Linked DNA regions of Stegostoma tigrinum. The protein of the gene in region 1 interacts with the protein of each later gene in a biochemical or structural test. Links are inferred from orthologs where the notes say so. Each region holds a gene or a part of one and is shown in the gene's direction. Other genes may lie near its edges.

Evidence for each region. The genes of interacting proteins can lie anywhere in the genome.
Region 2: of the proteins of E3 ubiquitin-protein ligase NEDD4-like (region 1) and akt1, one has a biochemical effect on the other in vitro, tested with the Homo sapiens proteins (3 studies listed by BioGRID, with this or other methods). The link is inferred for Stegostoma tigrinum from reciprocal best matches to the Homo sapiens genes NEDD4 and AKT1.

Annotation. Positions count from the first base shown.
Region 1 is NC_081386.1:15,732,612-15,741,050, reverse strand, and holds the start of E3 ubiquitin-protein ligase NEDD4-like, read left to right. Parts: upstream 1-4,736; 5' UTR 4,737-4,829; coding exon 4,830-6,086; intron 6,087-8,439. UniProt on the Homo sapiens protein: E3 ubiquitin-protein ligase which accepts ubiquitin from an E2 ubiquitin-conjugating enzyme in the form of a thioester and then directly transfers the ubiquitin to targeted substrates. Specifically ubiquitinates 'Lys-63' in target proteins.
Region 2 is NC_081363.1:42,990,978-42,999,296, reverse strand, and holds the start of akt1 (RAC-alpha serine/threonine-protein kinase), read left to right. Parts: upstream 1-4,978; 5' UTR 4,979-5,085; intron 5,086-5,179; exon of another isoform or gene 5,180-5,478; intron 5,479-5,694; exon of another isoform or gene 5,695-5,752; intron 5,753-5,880; 5' UTR 5,881-5,952; coding exon 5,953-5,998; intron 5,999-8,319. UniProt on the Homo sapiens protein: AKT1 is one of 3 closely related serine/threonine-protein kinases (AKT1, AKT2 and AKT3) called the AKT kinase, and which regulate many processes including metabolism, proliferation, cell survival, growth and angiogenesis.

The DNA of each region.
Region 1 (8,439 bases):
ATTAATTTAAATGTCTAAGTATCATGGTGTTTTGTTTTGGTTTGGGACAAGGGCAGGCATCACTGGCTACGCTGTTGTTGATTGCCTATTTCTCACTGTTCTGGAAAAGCTGGTAGTGAGCTACTTTCCCAAACTACAAGAGACCTCGGGGTGTAGGTACACCCACAGTGATGTTGGGAAGAGAGTTCGAGAATTTTGACCCAATGATGGTGAAGTAAAGGCAAGTCAGATGGCATTTTCTTTGAAGGGGATCTTGCAGGTGCTGATATTCCTGTTTTTTGCTGTCCTTCTCCTCCTCGGTGGTAGAGGTTATGGGTTTGTAAGGTGCTGTTGAAGAAGCCTCTAAGTTACTGCCGTGTGCAGAAATGCTGCCATCGTGTGTCAGTGGTAGAGGAAGTGAAGGTTGAAGGTGATGCACGGTTTCTTTAGTAGTGTTGGAGTTGCACTGATCCAAGCAAGTGGAGAGTATTTCATCTCACATGTGCTGGTGGATTGTGGACAGGTGCTGGGGTTGGAGGCTGTCTGTTACTCACTATTAACTATCCTCTAACTTTCTCTTATAGTCACAGTATTTACGTGGCCCCTGACCTGCTTTAGTAGCCACACTCTCTATATGACTATTCCAGTTCAGTTCCTGGTTATTGGTAATCAACAGGAGGTTGATTGTGGGGTATTCAGTAATGATAAACCATTGAATGTTAGGGGGCAATGATTAGATTTTCTCTTGATAGCGATGATTATTGACTGATGCTTCTGTGGCATAAATATCAGTTGCCATGTATTAGTCAAAGCCTGGATGTTGCTGCATATGGATCCAGAATGTTTCAGTAACAAAAATAGAGATGGCTGGAAAAGCTCAGCAAGTCTGGCAGCATCTGTGGAGAGAAATCAGAGTTAAATGTTTCGAGCCAAATGACCCATCCTCAGAACTAAGGTGATTTAAAGCATCTGTAGTCCTTTCAATTTTTATTCAAAATATTTCAGTATCTGAAGAATCATAAACCACTACCTCTAATCTTATGACGGAGAGTCATTGATGAGGAAGCTGAAGATGTTTAGGCCTAGGACACTACCTTACAGAACTCCTGCAGTGATATACTTGAGCCGAGGTGATTGACCTCCAACAACCACAACCATTTTCCTTTTGTGCTAGGTATGACTCTACGAGTGAAGTGTATTTTCCCAATTCCCAATGACTTCAGGTTTATGAGCGTTCTTTGGTGTCACACTTGGCCAAATGCTACCTTGACATCTAGGATAGTCATGTGACTTCATCTCTGGGGTTTAGCTGCTTTGAGGGCATTGAAGAATGAACCTCGTTGTTGTGGGTCTGGAACCACATGTAGGCCAGACTGGGTGAAACAGCTGATTACCTTTCCTAAAGGACATTGGTGAACCAGATGGCTTTTTACAACAACCAAGAATGGTTACATGGTTTCCATTAGATTAATTCTTAATTCAATATGTTGTTAAATTCAGATTTCTTCTTCCAAGGTGGGATTTGAACCTATAAGCCTGGGCACGGATTACAACCTGAGTGCATTACTATCATGCCTCTCAGTCATTTTACTCCAAGCTTGAGTCATGGCACTTGGCCTAAAGAAAATGCATGCCATTGCAGTGTATGGCTTAGTACAGTGTATTTTTTTTAAGTAAGCAATGAAAATTCATTAAATATGTTTTCTGAGTGTGGTGTCCATTGGCTGTTCATTTCCTGAGATAACAAGGATGCTGTCGTCCTATACCAGGCCTGTGACACATTGCTAAGTAGGGTGCAGAATTTGGCTGGAGACTTACCCTTGAGTCTTCCTTGACATCCTGTGAGGATGTGTCCTGCATCCACTTGGTTTCCTCACAGTGGGAAACACTGCAGGCAGTCCACAAATTGACATTGCCATGCATTGCTCAGCTTGACAACAGAGCTGATTCTCCAATGTGCTGCGATGACGTTTTTTGTAAGTTTTAACTTTCCTCCTGTGCAGTCATAGACTAATGCAATAAAGAAGGAGGCCATTTGACCTATCACTTCTATGCCAGTCCTTATGAGGAGCAATCCAGTTCATTCCACTTCCAAACTTTTCCCCTGAAACCCTGTAATCACTTCTCTTCAAAAAATGTATGCAATTTCTTTTTGCGAACCGCTATTGGATTTGTCTCCACCATCCTGTCACATTTTTGGAGTGCCGTAAGCTGCAGATCCCAATACCTGTGCTCACATCAGCACTCCTCAAGCAGCCACACTTTTTCAGGGCATTTCATTAACATTGCTAGTCCCTCTCCCGACTCACCCAGAGCTCTGGAATAACTGCTCGCCATTTGCTTCTTTTTCCCGTCAGCCCACCTTGTACTGTGTTCAGTTAGACAATAAGCACTTTCTCTTGGAGACTGGATTCTGTGGTCTGTCTAGCTACGACCCCGTACGTATATTGTTGGAAGGACAAGTCTCATAAAATTGTTTTTGAGTTGAGTCAATTCACAGAAACTCCAGTCCATAAGCATGTTCTGTGCGTACAATTCTTTTACCGTTGACGTTTGTCCATTTCTAGAATTTCTATTGATATTATATTACTGTTGTTCAGGTGTGTGCTTTCAAAATGATGGTATTTAACAGGGTTTAAGTTTTTGTTCCCCATATGAGAAGCTTGGTATTTTTTTTCAAAGCAGACATTCTAGCATGTGAAGAGGCATAGGTTGTTATTAGTAATACAGAATGCAGAATGAAGAGTGATACAGTGGAATGGCTGTGAATATTCCAGTTCAGTGCAATGTTGAAAAAGCTGAGCTGGTCTGTAGCAAAAATTCCTATGCATCTGGCTGTCTGGAACTTTATTTAGCGGAAAAAAAGTCTTGGACTTGAAAAGCATGATACAGATTTTTTTTTCTACAAAGAGAGCATTGTTCTATCCAGATGCATTTTTTTATAGAAATGTTCTTGCTATTAAAAAAAAAGGAGTTTGACCAAGCAGTTATTCTGTACAAAGAAACTACCTATGCCCCTAGTGCAAGCTGTTTAGTTAAGTTAGCTATTTTGTTTGTTTTTTGACTAAGTGCAAATTGAAATGCTCAAAGGGCCATTTTTACTTTTAATTGCAGTTCAGAATAACTTTCTCACTTCTGTGCAGTGGTAGAAAATTTTTGTAAAAGGCATCTGTTAAAATGCCAACAGAAAATGGGGCAGTTGTTACAGCTTTTGATTATAAGCAGTACATTTTTCCATTGTGCAGCCACTTTTATCCCTAAGGGCATTAAGATGGCCATCATACAGTTATTAAACACTTGCTGTTTGATTTGTAGAAAAATGTTGCACATTTTATTTCATCAGTCCTGCTGAATGAGCCACTATTCCTGCATAGCAACTTGCAAACTGTTGAGTGGTGAGTTAATAAAGTATTATGTTCAGGTTTTACCTGGAATGTGTGAAGTGGCTAGTCATGTTGTGTCATGGCTCCACACATTAAAATGTCAAACAACTTTGTCTTACAAGGCTTGGAACTTAAAATCTTTTGTGACTTCACTCAAAGGAAATTTTCTCTCTCTTGTAAAGTGTATGCAGTGTCATAGTCCTAGATATTGGTGCAAAACTCCCACATCGAGGAACAATTTCTGATGTGTTAAGATTGTACCTTTTTTACATGGTTACAAGACGAAGGAGAAAGTATTTGAAAAATGCTTTCTTGTAAAAATTAATTATATTCAGTGCTTTTGAATCTGTACATCTGATCGGAAAGCCACAGGAAGAAAAGAATGTAACTCCTTTGGCACGGTCATGAGTTTCAAATGTCAGAATGTGGCATTTCTGTGTATGAAGAGAGAGGTTTTTCCTACTTAGCCACACTGAACAGTCTTAACAAGCGCTAGCAGCCCGGTACCAGCAGGATTTCAGTCCAGTGGGAGTCTAATAATAGTTCTGTTTTTGTTTCTTTTTAAACAAGGATTTGCTTCTTTTAAATCGTTGCCTCTTTTAGATGGTTGGATTTCAATGTGTTCAGCTAAAGCCGAACTGAGAGCGTGAGTTCAGAACTACTATCTGCAAAAAAAAAGCCAATCTTTATCACATTGAGGAACTGATGAAGGCAAATTGTATTCAATTGTAAATGCAAAACTGCGGAGTGCTCTTGCAGTTATTAGCAGTAGCTTCCTGTCTATTTCCCATATCCTGGAGGTTTAACATTGTGGGTAATACTCAGAAAACCTTTTGATTCTGAATTATGCTGGATGTTGCTCTTTAAAATTTCCTGTAATGCAATACTATGAGGTAAAAATACGGTGTTGGTTCAGTGTAGGAGAAACATTTGAAGCTCCAGTGCCTAAAGCAGTGCCACATATTTAGCTTGCTTGCTGGGGACGAGATGTAATATATGAAACCGAAATGCAAGAAGATGTTGATTTTGGGTTGGATTCAGTCACTCATGGAAGTAAAGGAGATTTAATTGAAGCAAGGTTGGCCAGAATTCAAACAGTGTGCAGCAGCTGAGCTTCTTGTAAAGGTTGCTGAGTTTTCAGTGCTGTGGAAGAGAGTCTGCCTTCATTTCTCACCGTTAAGAGACATTCATGGCTATTCAGAATTGCGGGAGGTATTCCTGCAATTATGATTTTTGCTGCTGGACATTTCTAACTTCCCAGGCTTAATAGCCATAGTGCAGTAATGACTGGAATGCTGCTTGTCACTTCAGCTATTTCTGCTTATCTACAGCTCCTGATGGTGACCGTATCGCAAGTGGCAGTGCTTGCTATGATTGCTTTAAGTGTTCTCTGCAGAATGTGAGTTTTTAACTAGCTCAGATTCATTCCAACCTAGGACCACATTTGTTGTATTTCAAAAGGGAAGAATGGCCCGTCGTTTGCGACTGCATTTTGCAACCAGGAGGAGCAACACTGACCCACTGTCTGAAACTTCGGGAGAAGGCTTGGAGAGTAACATTTGTATGACAGTTGAGACTGTACCAGTACATGTGAGAAAGAATGTTCACCAAGTGACTGCACTTGAACCTGTGGCAGCGCAGACAGTAGCACAGGATGAACGTATCCTACAGCGCAGTTCTTCATTGTTTATACCACAGGTCAGCAACAGTGATCATCACCGCAAAAAGAGCTCTACCTTGCAAATATCACTGCAGTCCAAACAATCCAGAGGACAGTGTGAATCTAGTACTCGTTGCAATGGCAGAGAGGGTGGTTTGTGCAATGCCGGTATTTCTTTTGACCAAGAGCTTTTAGAACGTGCGATGGAGTCCACCAAAGCATCAGTGAAGTTGAGAAAACCGAAGGTTCCATTGAGGCGTTGTTCATCATTGGTGATATTTCCTCAGAGTCCGTGTAGTACTCCGCCAGCTACACCAACAAGCCCAGATCCATTTACAAGTGCAAGTAGCAATCCCACATTAAACAGATTTCTTCCTTGCCCTCATGAACCAAAGCAAGATGAAGATCAGGCTGTGTCTAAATCCAAAGAAGCAAGCACATGTTTTGTTGCAACAGCAGTTAATGGGCTGCGTTTGTCTAACCCAGTTTGTCCTTCTTCGGAAGTTAGAGACATTAAGTCGCTTCATTGTAACGGACAGCAACCTGGCAAAAATCGAGCAATAGATTACGGCGAGGAAGAAGCAGAGTATTGGGGAAAAGTGAAGAAACCGCACAGACCTTCAAATCACGTTCTGCATTTCAACTACCAAAGAGCTCATGTATTTGGAACAGAGCCCAAGGAAGGACAAATTCACCCTGAATCATTTGTGAAGGAGTTTAAGCAGAGCTCTTTAAATACTGGACATGCGCATCATCCTATTAAGTTAATAAGGAGCACCTCTGTATGTTTACCTTCGTTCAAACATTCAGACTGCCAACTTAATATTAATGGTGTGGTAGAAAGGGAAATTATAAATGAACAAAACAAGCGTCCGATCTTTCAAAGGAGCCATTCACTTGAAGTTCCCTGTCAGCTGGTTTCCAGTTATCATTCAAAACCTAAACATTGTTGTTCAAGGGTTGGGATCCCTCATTTACAAATCCACGTAGCTCCTAGATCAGAGCAAAAGACGTTCAGTTCTGAGGAGGAAATGACTGGAGCTGTTTGGGGACGAAAGTGCAAGGTAAGCTAATTCTCCCCTGCCTCAAAGGCTTCAAATTAAAAATCAGCTTATCTATTTTACTCCCACTTTTAGTACAAATTGTGGGCAGTGTCTGTAGAATTTAGTGATAGTTTTGTTAAACAGGGTGATTGCTGTGCTAGAAAATGTAGGAAGTCCTAAAATTAAATTTTCTAGCATTTTTAATTGTTTCAAAATTTGCCAGTGATGATTGCAGACAGCTGTGCCCTAGTGTTGATTTACACTTGAGTTTCTAATTACAGACAATTTTAATGATTTACTGATCTATTTAGTGATACTGCTCAGATCTGTAGCTATGGACTGAGTCTAAAGAATATGTGAAACGTGTTGTATATTCTATAGATATTCTCAATATGAAATTTGTTTTCTGGCCAAAGAGCACCATTTATAGGCGGTTGTTAATGCTGAGGAAATTTTCTTGTCTTTTTTAACTTCTGTGTTCAATGTTTTTACTGGTTTCCTGTAGTGAAAGTGATTCAGTTTAGGTAGACATCTCTACAAAAGTAAGTGTTCTAGGCAAGCACTTGCATGCAAAACAATTTTGCTCACTTGATCTGTACAATCTGTCAGAGGTTGTTATTGACATAATTCATAAAATTTGAAATCAAGTATCACATGTTTTACTGCTAATAAATTACATTTTTGGATGAGAAGTTATTTATCCAGTAAAACACGTGAATTTAAAATGTTCAGATTTTGCCACTTGCAGATTAATTTACTTGAAAGCAGATTGGCTAAATCTTTGTAACATTAATAATATACTTCAGCTAAGAACATCACCTATCAATCTTTTTGATTTGGGCCATAATTGCACTTGAAACTGCAAAAAATGCTTAATGTCACATTGTAAATTTCCCTTGGTTTTTAAGTTAGAAAGGGGTATCCTTTCCTAGTTAGCTTTGGGCATCCAAATTTGTTTCCTGTGGTTTAAAATAGCTGTAAGATTAACAAATGATTTCCCTTTGTGTGCCTCAGGTGTCTGCTCCTAACCTCGTGAAGCTCAATTTTATTTAAAATGTGTTACTTACGTTACTCAAAATTGTTAGAATTGAAGTAGAAGTAAAAGTCAGTTACACATGGTTGTGTTTTGTGTAAAAGCGAGTCTGTATTTCCAGATGGTAACTGTATTAGCTAGTTAAATGTGTTTAGATTTATTTTAATTCTCCACTTTAATTTCCACATTGATGCAATGAGTGCGCATGTGTTGACTGCAGTTGGAAAGGAATTATTCGGATTGTTGAAATACACAGACAGCTAAGTTATCCATTTGTTTTATAAACTGAATCAAAGCTTGGTTGCCTAAACATAGCAGAGTGTAAACCTGATTTAAATATATTGCGCCAAGAATATTTCATCAGACTCCAGATAGTCTGGCCTGGAATACTGTTATGGAAGGTCTGAGTTCAAATATAACAACCTGATATTAGAGTAGTGGTGGTCACTGCAGCCATCTGTACACAGCAGACATGAAATTGGATCAGACCATGGTTGAGTTCTGTTGTGCTTGCAGACGTGAAAGGTCCACATGTTCCTCTTTCACTTGGGCACTGGACTTCAGCAACAAGGTGTCAGATATCCCACTATCTATAATTAACAGCTTGTTAAAGGGAACTTTTCTAAATCCATGCAGAAAGATTTGACTTCAACTTTGTGATAAATCTGTTGCACTTGAATCCTGTACTTATCTGAATCTTAGTTATCATTTCTACATTAATAACATTAAACTGGAGGAAAATTAAAAGAATCATCCTCAGCAAGGTTAGCAGTTATCATTGCAGAGTTGAACTGTTTGAGGGTTGCCAGCAATTTTCCTTATTTAATCCATGCAGATAACTTACTGCTATCATCTTCAGGGAGCATCTACCCCATCAAATCACCTTGTGAAATTCCTGTCCTAAGTAATCAAATGGTACCTTTTTACACTTATTCCCACCATGCTATGGTTTTATTTCTGAGCATTTCTTTGAATATTTCCACCTTTTTTGGGAGAGGACTAGTCCTTTATTTGAAGTCATCTTGAATGGTGTCCTTCTGCAAATTAACTGCATCAGCTAAATTGCTTATGACTGTGCATTGGCCAATGATGGTTTTTGATTTTAAAACCTATTAAGTTGCCACAGAACATACTTAATGATTTACATTGCCTCTTTGTGTGGTTCTTCTCTGTCATGACATCTTAGAGTGTGAAGTCTGCTTCAAATTCAGCCGAAGGTTTCAGGGTAATAGTCTCTTTAAGTAAAAGGCAATCCTAGCTACAACAATGCTTCTGGTGTTTCTTGGCAGACACCTGGGTCTAGTAAGGACTGAGGCCAGACTGGGGTCAGGCATAAAATCC
Region 2 (8,319 bases), on another chromosome or scaffold:
CTAAGAGATCTTCACTTGGTCTCTTCATGCTCACTCATTTTGTGCCTACTTGTATGCTCACAGCCTCCCTGCCTTGCCTCAACTTTGTGCACTTTGTCCCCTCAGACAAAGTTTAAAGGCTCACAAAATTTTTGTTTGCCTTGCCTTTCAGCACAAACACAAAGGCAGACAGCTTGTTAAGGTTGTCAACAGTCATCAGTCAATTGGGTGGTATGTGCTGTGTCAGTCTCAGAACTGCACCCTGTATCAGTGCGTGCAGCGTCCAGCACACTGCATATGCTTCATACAAATGGTCATGTCTCAAAGTCTGAGGGGAGTAGTTCCCAATCAAGTCAAGGGGGACACGCATTTTGCAGGGATTCCTGGCATAGTAAGTCAAGGTCAGCCTCTGGTATCAATTCAGAGGCTTGGGTATGGTCAGTGGAACATCTGGGATGGTCATTGTCAGTGGTTCATACTTCTACAGCCTGGGGGTGAGCCACAGTCAGCCCTGTGGCTCCAGTACATCCAGTTCGGGGAGCTGTGGAACCACAGTCAGGGAGCTATCCAACTACCAGTCAGTGGGCCTGGTCACTCATTGTTCTGGCCTTCTAAGTGACTCAAGGGGGTGAGCTGTAGTCAGCCCTGGGGTCTGTTCACTAAAAGTCCCTGGGGGGTTTATCAGGGGCTTGAGCGTGGGAAGGTCGCTGGAAACTTAATTTTGTGGATTAGAGGCAGCATGCTGGGGTTCAGAGGGGATTACAATTGTGCAAGGGGATGGCAACTCATTATATAATGAGGAGGATGATATGTTGGAGGTAAGGGGGTATTACTAGAGTCATGTCATCAACAGTCAGCAACACCCTAATTTCTACGGGTGACAGTGGAGGACTAGGTCTGGCATGTTTACTTGATATGCCTGGGGATGGGGAGCAGGGACTGTGTCAAGTGGGGCAATGAAAATTCAGACAGAGTGGGAGGATACTTGGGGATGTTTGAAGACTATGGGGATTTACGAAAAGGGCTACAAGAAGGGAACATGTAATTTGCAGACTCATCTAGAGTGAGAGGCTGAGTTGACTTTCACTGGTTGAGGAATAACCACTGTTTCATTCCACTGTACTGGAAGCATCAAGTGCTGAAAATGGCTGCCACCACACCCAGAGACAGGGTAAGTGTGAGGGAAGGGTCTTCAATAAGTTTCTTCAATAAGATGCACTTTGAAGGGCAACAATACTTCACAGATACCCTTACCCTTTTGCTGAAACATATCTGCGAGCATTACGTACTATGTGAACCAAAGGCATTAAATCCTGGTCCCAAGTACTCTTGACTGCAACAGGCAACAATACAAATCAATTCCATTATTGGCTGTGATGCACAAACAATGCTTTGCAAAGTGAAAACATTCACAGTTATAGAGCCATAGAGTCACTCAGCACGGAAACAGACCCTTCAGTCCAACCAGTAGATGTTGACTGTAATCCCAACCTAAACTACTCCCACCTGCCTGCACTTGGCCTAGAGCCCTCCAAATGCTTCTTATCTAAATACTTTTTAAACATTGTAACTGTACCCACATCTGCCACTTCTTCTGGAAGTTCATTCCACGCACAAACCACTCTTTGTATCAAAAAAAACCCCCTCACATCTTTTTAAAATCTTTTTCTTCTCACCTTAAAAATATGTTGTCTACTCTTGAAAGCCTTTACCCTTGGGAAAAGACACCTGCCATTCACCTTATCTATACACATCATGATTTTATAAATCTTTATAAGGTCACCACTCAACCTCCTACGCTCCACTAAAAAAGGTCCCAGGCTATCCAGCCTCTCCTTATAACTTAAGCCCTTCATCCCCGGCAATATCTGGTAAATCATTGCCAGAGCAGCAATCACATTTCAAATTCCCAGAGCCTGTACATGAAGCTTAACACCTTGGACAAAAGGACATTGTGTAGCACTACAGATGGTTAGGCTCTGTACCTTCAGTGTCAAAGTTGTGACAGATAGACATTCGCTCACAGACCACTGGGGTGGCACAGTGGTTAGCACTGCTGCCTCACAGTGCTAGGGACCAGGGTTTGATTCCACCCCCAGGTGACTGTCTGTGTGGAGTTTGCACATTCTCCTTCTGTCTGTGTGGGGATGCTCCGGTTTCTGCCCACAGTCCAAAAGATGTGCAAGCTAGGTGAATTGGCCATGGTAAATTGCCCTTCATGTTCAGGGATGTGTAGATTAGGTGGGTTTACAGGGGAATGGGTCTGTGCAGTTTATTCCATACATGCACCCTCCTCTATATCAACAGGTTAACTCTTATGTCCCTTTTAAATCTTTTCCCTCTCACCTTAAACCTATGCCCTCTAGTTTTGGACTCTCCTGCCCTGAGAAAAAGAGCTTGGCCATTTATCTTATCTATGCCCCTCATGATTTTATAAACTTCTATAAGGTCCTGCCCCAGCCTTTGACGATCCAGGGAAAATAGCTCTAGCTTATTCAGGCTCTCCTTATAGCTCAAACATTCCATACCCAGCAACATCCTTGTAAATCTTTTCTGAATCTGTTCAAGTTTCACAACATCCCTCCTATAGCAGGGAGACCAGAATTGCACATAATAGTCCAAAAATGGCCGAACCAATGTCCTGTACAGCCACGGCATGACCTCCGGACTCCTATACTCACTGCACTGACCAGTAAAGGCAAGCATACCACATGCTTTCTTTACTATCCTGCCAGGGACTCCACTTTCAAGCAATTATGAACCTGCACTCCAAGGTCTCTTTGTTTGGCAGCAATTCCTAGGACGTTACTATTAAGTGTATAAGTCCTGCCTTGGTTTGCCTTTCCAAAATGCAGCACCTCACATTTACCTAAATTAAACTCCATCAGCAACTCCTCAGCCCATATGCCCATCTGACCAAGGTCTTATCGTGCTCCAAGGTAACCTTCTTTGGTTTCCACTACACCTTCAATTTTGGTGTCATTTCCAAAATTACTAACTGCACCTCCTATGTTCACATCCAAATCATTTATATAAATGACAGCACCGATCCTTGTGGCACACTGCTGGTCACAGGCCTCCAGTTTGAAAAGGAACCTTCCACCACCATCCTCCATAATTTTAAGAATATATTTACAATAAAGTGTCACCCATTGCTAACTAAGTGCCCGCAGAAGCTCATTTTCTTCCTTTCCTCCCAGTCTGTCTCAGTGAAATTCTAGGTGCCTCAACATTGATGGAGGCAGCTTGCCCCATTATGGAGTTAAATGGACTGGGAGTTTTGGTTGGGTGATACCGGATGCATTTGTGCCTATAGGGTCCAGATGCGCTGCGTGTCTCTTGCCCAGAGTCATCTCCGCAGCTTGACCTTCCAGAGGGCTAAAGGTGAAAAGCAGGGAAGGGGGTTGAAAGCCTAGTCAACTCTGCAGTATCCTGAGAGATGTCTTGGGGGAATATATACGATTCCTCCTCTGGCTGGGTGTCTACCAGCACTGCCCTGTGTGCTGGTGAGGAAGGGATGAGTCAGAGTCCATTGAGACAGTTGGCACCCCTGGCATTCTCTGAAGTGTTCTTGGAAACAGCCAGACAATCATAGACCTAAGGCTGCAAGGTACCTGTAGCATTTCTGGAATCCTGCAACCTTTCTTTCATGTTGCCCGGTGTTCCTGACAAACGTACCTGTTGCTCCTGTGTTTGTCTCAGCATTAACTCCCTTGTTGCCAACATCAATGGGCTCCTCCCCTGGGTAGTGTGGGCAGGTGCCTGTTCTCCAATGCCAATGACCTGGGGCATTTCTCAGTCAGCTGCACAGACCTAGGAGTGACATGCTCATCAGCAGATACTCCCACATCTAGTTGAAGCATTCACTGAGGGGGCAGTACCTGAACTAGTGGATAGGTACATGAGGCTGCCTTGCTGGTATATCCTCTGAGGCAACATGCTACTTTGCTCAGAGATGTGAGGAATGTTGACTATGGAGACCATGCTATTGCTGTTTATATCTGCAGGATAGAAAGGAGACAATGCATTGTGAACAAGGAGTAAAATTTCTAATGTGTTGCAAAGTCATTCACAGTGATGTAATGTAGGAGTAGCACAGGAATAGAGATTGCTTTGTATAGAAGACAGCGAGAAAAGTTACCTCAGCGTACGACTGGATCTTGATCAGATGGGCCAATGGGCTTAGGAGTGACAAATGGAGTTTAATTTAGATAAATGTGAGTTGCTGCATTTTGGAAAGGCAAATCTGCGGAGGACTTATACACTTAATGGCAAGATCCTGAGGACTGTTGCTGAACAGCAAGCCTTGGAGAGCAATTTCATAATTCTTTTAAAATACATTCATCACAGGTGGGCAGGATGATGAAGAAGGCATTTGGTATGCTTGTCTTTATTGGTCAGTGCATTGAGTATAGGAGTGGGAGGTTATGTTGCAACTGTACAGCACATTGGTTAGGCCACTTTTGGAATACTGTGTGCAATTCCAGTCTCTCCTTCTGCATTGTTAGGTGTTTCTCCAAACTCTGGAGTCCACTGATCCAGGTGGCAACCTTATAGGCAGGTAGGGTCTGGTTCCAAGATCACCTCTACCAGGCTGGGGTTGGAGGACGGCCCTCCTCAGCAGCATGCTATCGACTAAAGCTTCCAGGTCCCCTGGTCTACAAAGTGAGGTAGCAATTTTCCATTACCTGCATCATCCGGGGCAAATATCATTGATTACACAGGGCAGCACTGGACTGCCAGCTCTAGATAGGATGCACAATGAGCCGGTGCCAGTAGTCCTGGGACCAATGCTTCTGCTTACTGTGAATTGGCTAGCACTGGCTGTCATGGGCATGGTACCTGGTCAGTGAGTAAGTTTGGGATTGACAGACCTCTCTGGGAGAAACCCTCCATGAAATTTGACAAAATTTCCACAACACAGTCCTTTTACTTAAAAAAAATCTTCAATCTAATCCCACCTGCCAATGGAAACAATGATTTTGTTGACTATCCACCACAATAGTTTGCCCCTGTTATTGACTGTTCTCTGCTGGTCGAGGGGTTAGTCTGAAAAATGGCTGTCCGAGTCGTTGATCTGCTCAGTGTCACGTGCAATAGTAGCAGGTTAGTTAATTTTTGAGCCCAAGCAGTTCTTATCTCATCAGTTTCTGTGAATTGTCTGCTGTCAGTTATGATAGTTACTTTAATGCTAGTAGTGAGTCTCAGTCGTTACTTTCTTCACTGCTGTTAATTGCCGGAGTCGTTGAATTTGTTGCGGAACCTACCGATTATTGTATTTACTGCTTGTTAAGGATGTAGAGCTCGCCTGGGCGTTGTGTAGCCCCCGTACTGACGTGCTGGGGAGACTAAGCCAGCCTAACGTCACCCATTCTCGCACAAGGAAGAAGCTATCACACCGTTTACTGCAGTTCAGCGCCTTGCGAACCTTAGTTATGATCCGGAGCTAAACATAGGGGCAATACAAAGAGGTCGGGAGCCGGACCCGACTAGCTGCAGGTAGGAAAGCAAGCCTCAGGGTAAACCTTTCACTGAGGACGGTCCCAGCGCCTACAGGCCTGCCTCAGCTTTAGGCCTGTTCCCATTTGCCTGTCCGGAGATGTTAGACTGGTCTGCCCCCTGCCCTGGGCTTCCCTCCCGGCCAGCCGCCTCAGGAGCCGGGGAAGCCGCTTGTCCTGCGGCTGTGCCCGGGGAACAGGATGCTAGCTGCCGATGCTCCGCCAAGCGCGTTACGTTCTCTGCCATTCATTAAAATCAGTTCAGAGTCTGGACCGTAAGTTCATAATGGCCTGGAAATCACTGACTTGTACGTGAACGCCCACCTTGTCCTAACCCACGCAAGCTTGCTAACTGATATAATTACCTGCTACTTACCCTTGCTTTTTTCTCCCTTTAACACAGGTTGCTGTGAAGAATAAAGGGTTTCAATCAGGAACCTTCGAGTCAACTTACTTTTAAATCTTTTGTATCACTATGACTGAAGGTACAATCGTGAAAGAGGGGTGGCTTCACAAAAGAGGTAAGATTTTGTAATTGATTCCAGTGGAAGTACACAACACTCTTCTTTCCACGTGTTTAAACAGACATTTTACTATTGTCTAGTTTTAACAAGCAGAGTTGGTAAACAACTGTATTCCTATCAAAGTTTGCAAGAGAGCATCTTGATTTGATATAATTTGCTACAGTAACCCTATTTGATCTTATGGTATCGGTTAAGGGTTTTCTTCTGTAATGTCAGAAGCACTGTCCATAAGGTGCATTTTTTGAATTGTATTATTGATTATGTTTGGTGAAAATGGTAACAAATATAGGCACTTAAAATGTTGAATTGTGAATTAAAACCTCCTTGCTGCATTTACAGTATTTAACACAATAATACTACTGTCAATATTAATAAATAATTTTATTGTACAAAACACTATCTTGCAATAATTTTCACATGCCAATACTATCTAAGTCCCCAGTTATGGTATAGACCTTGAGTGCAGTCTGAATAGGAGGTTCTAACATAAGTACAAATACTGGAATTGAGCTTTTGTGCAATGATGGATGTGGTTTACTCTCCACTTCCTGACATGAATGAATGCCTTTTGAATGATGAAGACATGTCATTTGCCACTCCAGCAATTTCACCACATTTTTACGGTGGAAAAACTGACTCCATTGAGTTCAAAAACTGACATATAGACTCTTTAATCGCGCATTGAAAAAGTTCTATGTTTACTTTGTCAAGAGTACTTGTAATAAAATATTATTGATATGCAACTGATTACTTTTATTATATCACTTGGAGGAGAGTATTGCATTGTGAAATGCTGTCATCGCAATTAATTTCATGGGAGGTATGTCCTTATAACAAATGCCGCACAGTGTATGAAAAGATTCAAGCACATTTATACATTACAAGATAGGATATCTGATATACACATCATAATATTACCAAGATGTGTATATGTATTTTGAGGAAATGTTTTTAGATATATATGTCACTTTGTTAGAATGGCATATTACTTTTTACTTTTATACAGTGCTGCTTAATTTGTGGCAACTGCTATACAATATAACCAGTTGAAGCATAAACTGATGAAAACTATTACTCAATATTAGATAGTAGATGTTTGTGTAGTAATATTTGGGAAAAAAATAGAAATACAAACTTCATATTTAATCAAAATTGTAGTGATAGTGGGCATAAAAACATTTTATCTAGGATAAGTAATGTTGAGTGTGTCCCATTTAATGTAATGGTTTATTTGATACATTTCTTGAAATTAATTTCAATCAAAATATTAACCTTTGAGATTTTAGTATAAATGGGTTCATTTAACTGGTAGGTTAAAAAAGAATTTCTGACATCTATAATTACATAAAATAGTTGAACGATTGGACTTTATGCGATGATTTTATTCTGACAATTTTCAGAGAGTAAATTGTCCATAAAAATGTGAGTTTAACATTTCATAGCCTTCATTTTCCAGGTTTGTTAATTTTTATAAATATTGTTGTGTATAATGAAGTGGTTTTCACAACATTTAACATTCTAAAAGAAAACTTTTCTGATTGTGCTCTGAAGACATAAAACGTAATTCAGAAATAAGAATCTCACAGTACGATAACAACTTGCACTTAAATATCACCTGGAGGAACACTGCAGGCCAGGCAGCATCAGAGACAAGAACGGTCCCGACCCGAAACATCAGCTTTCCTGCTCCTCTGATGCTGTCTGGCCTGCTGTGTTCCTCCAGCTTCACATTGTGCTATCTCTGACTCCAGCATCGTCAGTTCTTACTATCTCTGAGTGACTTATATATCACCTGTGTTGAATAAAATGTTCCAAATTACTTCATTGGAGCATGATCAGAAGAAACTTGCCACCGAAACTGGTAAAAAGAGTTTAGGAGGTTTGATCAGTTACTTTGCGAAGAGATAGATTTTAAGGGAGGACTTAAAGGACATTTGGAGGAGAGGTGAAGCAATTTGCAGGCATATGAAAAGAAGCAGAAGTAGACTACCTGGCTGCACAAACCTGCACTGCTATTCAGTAAGGTAACAGCTGATGTCTTTGTATTTTAAATGTTACATTCCAACCTACTTTCAATAACCTTTGATTCCCTTGTCTAGCAAGAATCTATCTCCGTCTGCCTTAAAAATACATTGTGACCCTACCTTTGTTGCCTTCTGAGCTAGAAAGCTCTAAAATTGCATGATCATTTCATAGGAAAATAGTCTTCCCGTTTCCGTCCAATAGGGGAAATCCCCTAATTTTGAACATATGCATAAGAGGAAACAGCCTTTGCACATGACTTTGCCAAGACCATTCAGGATCCTGGACGCTTCAAT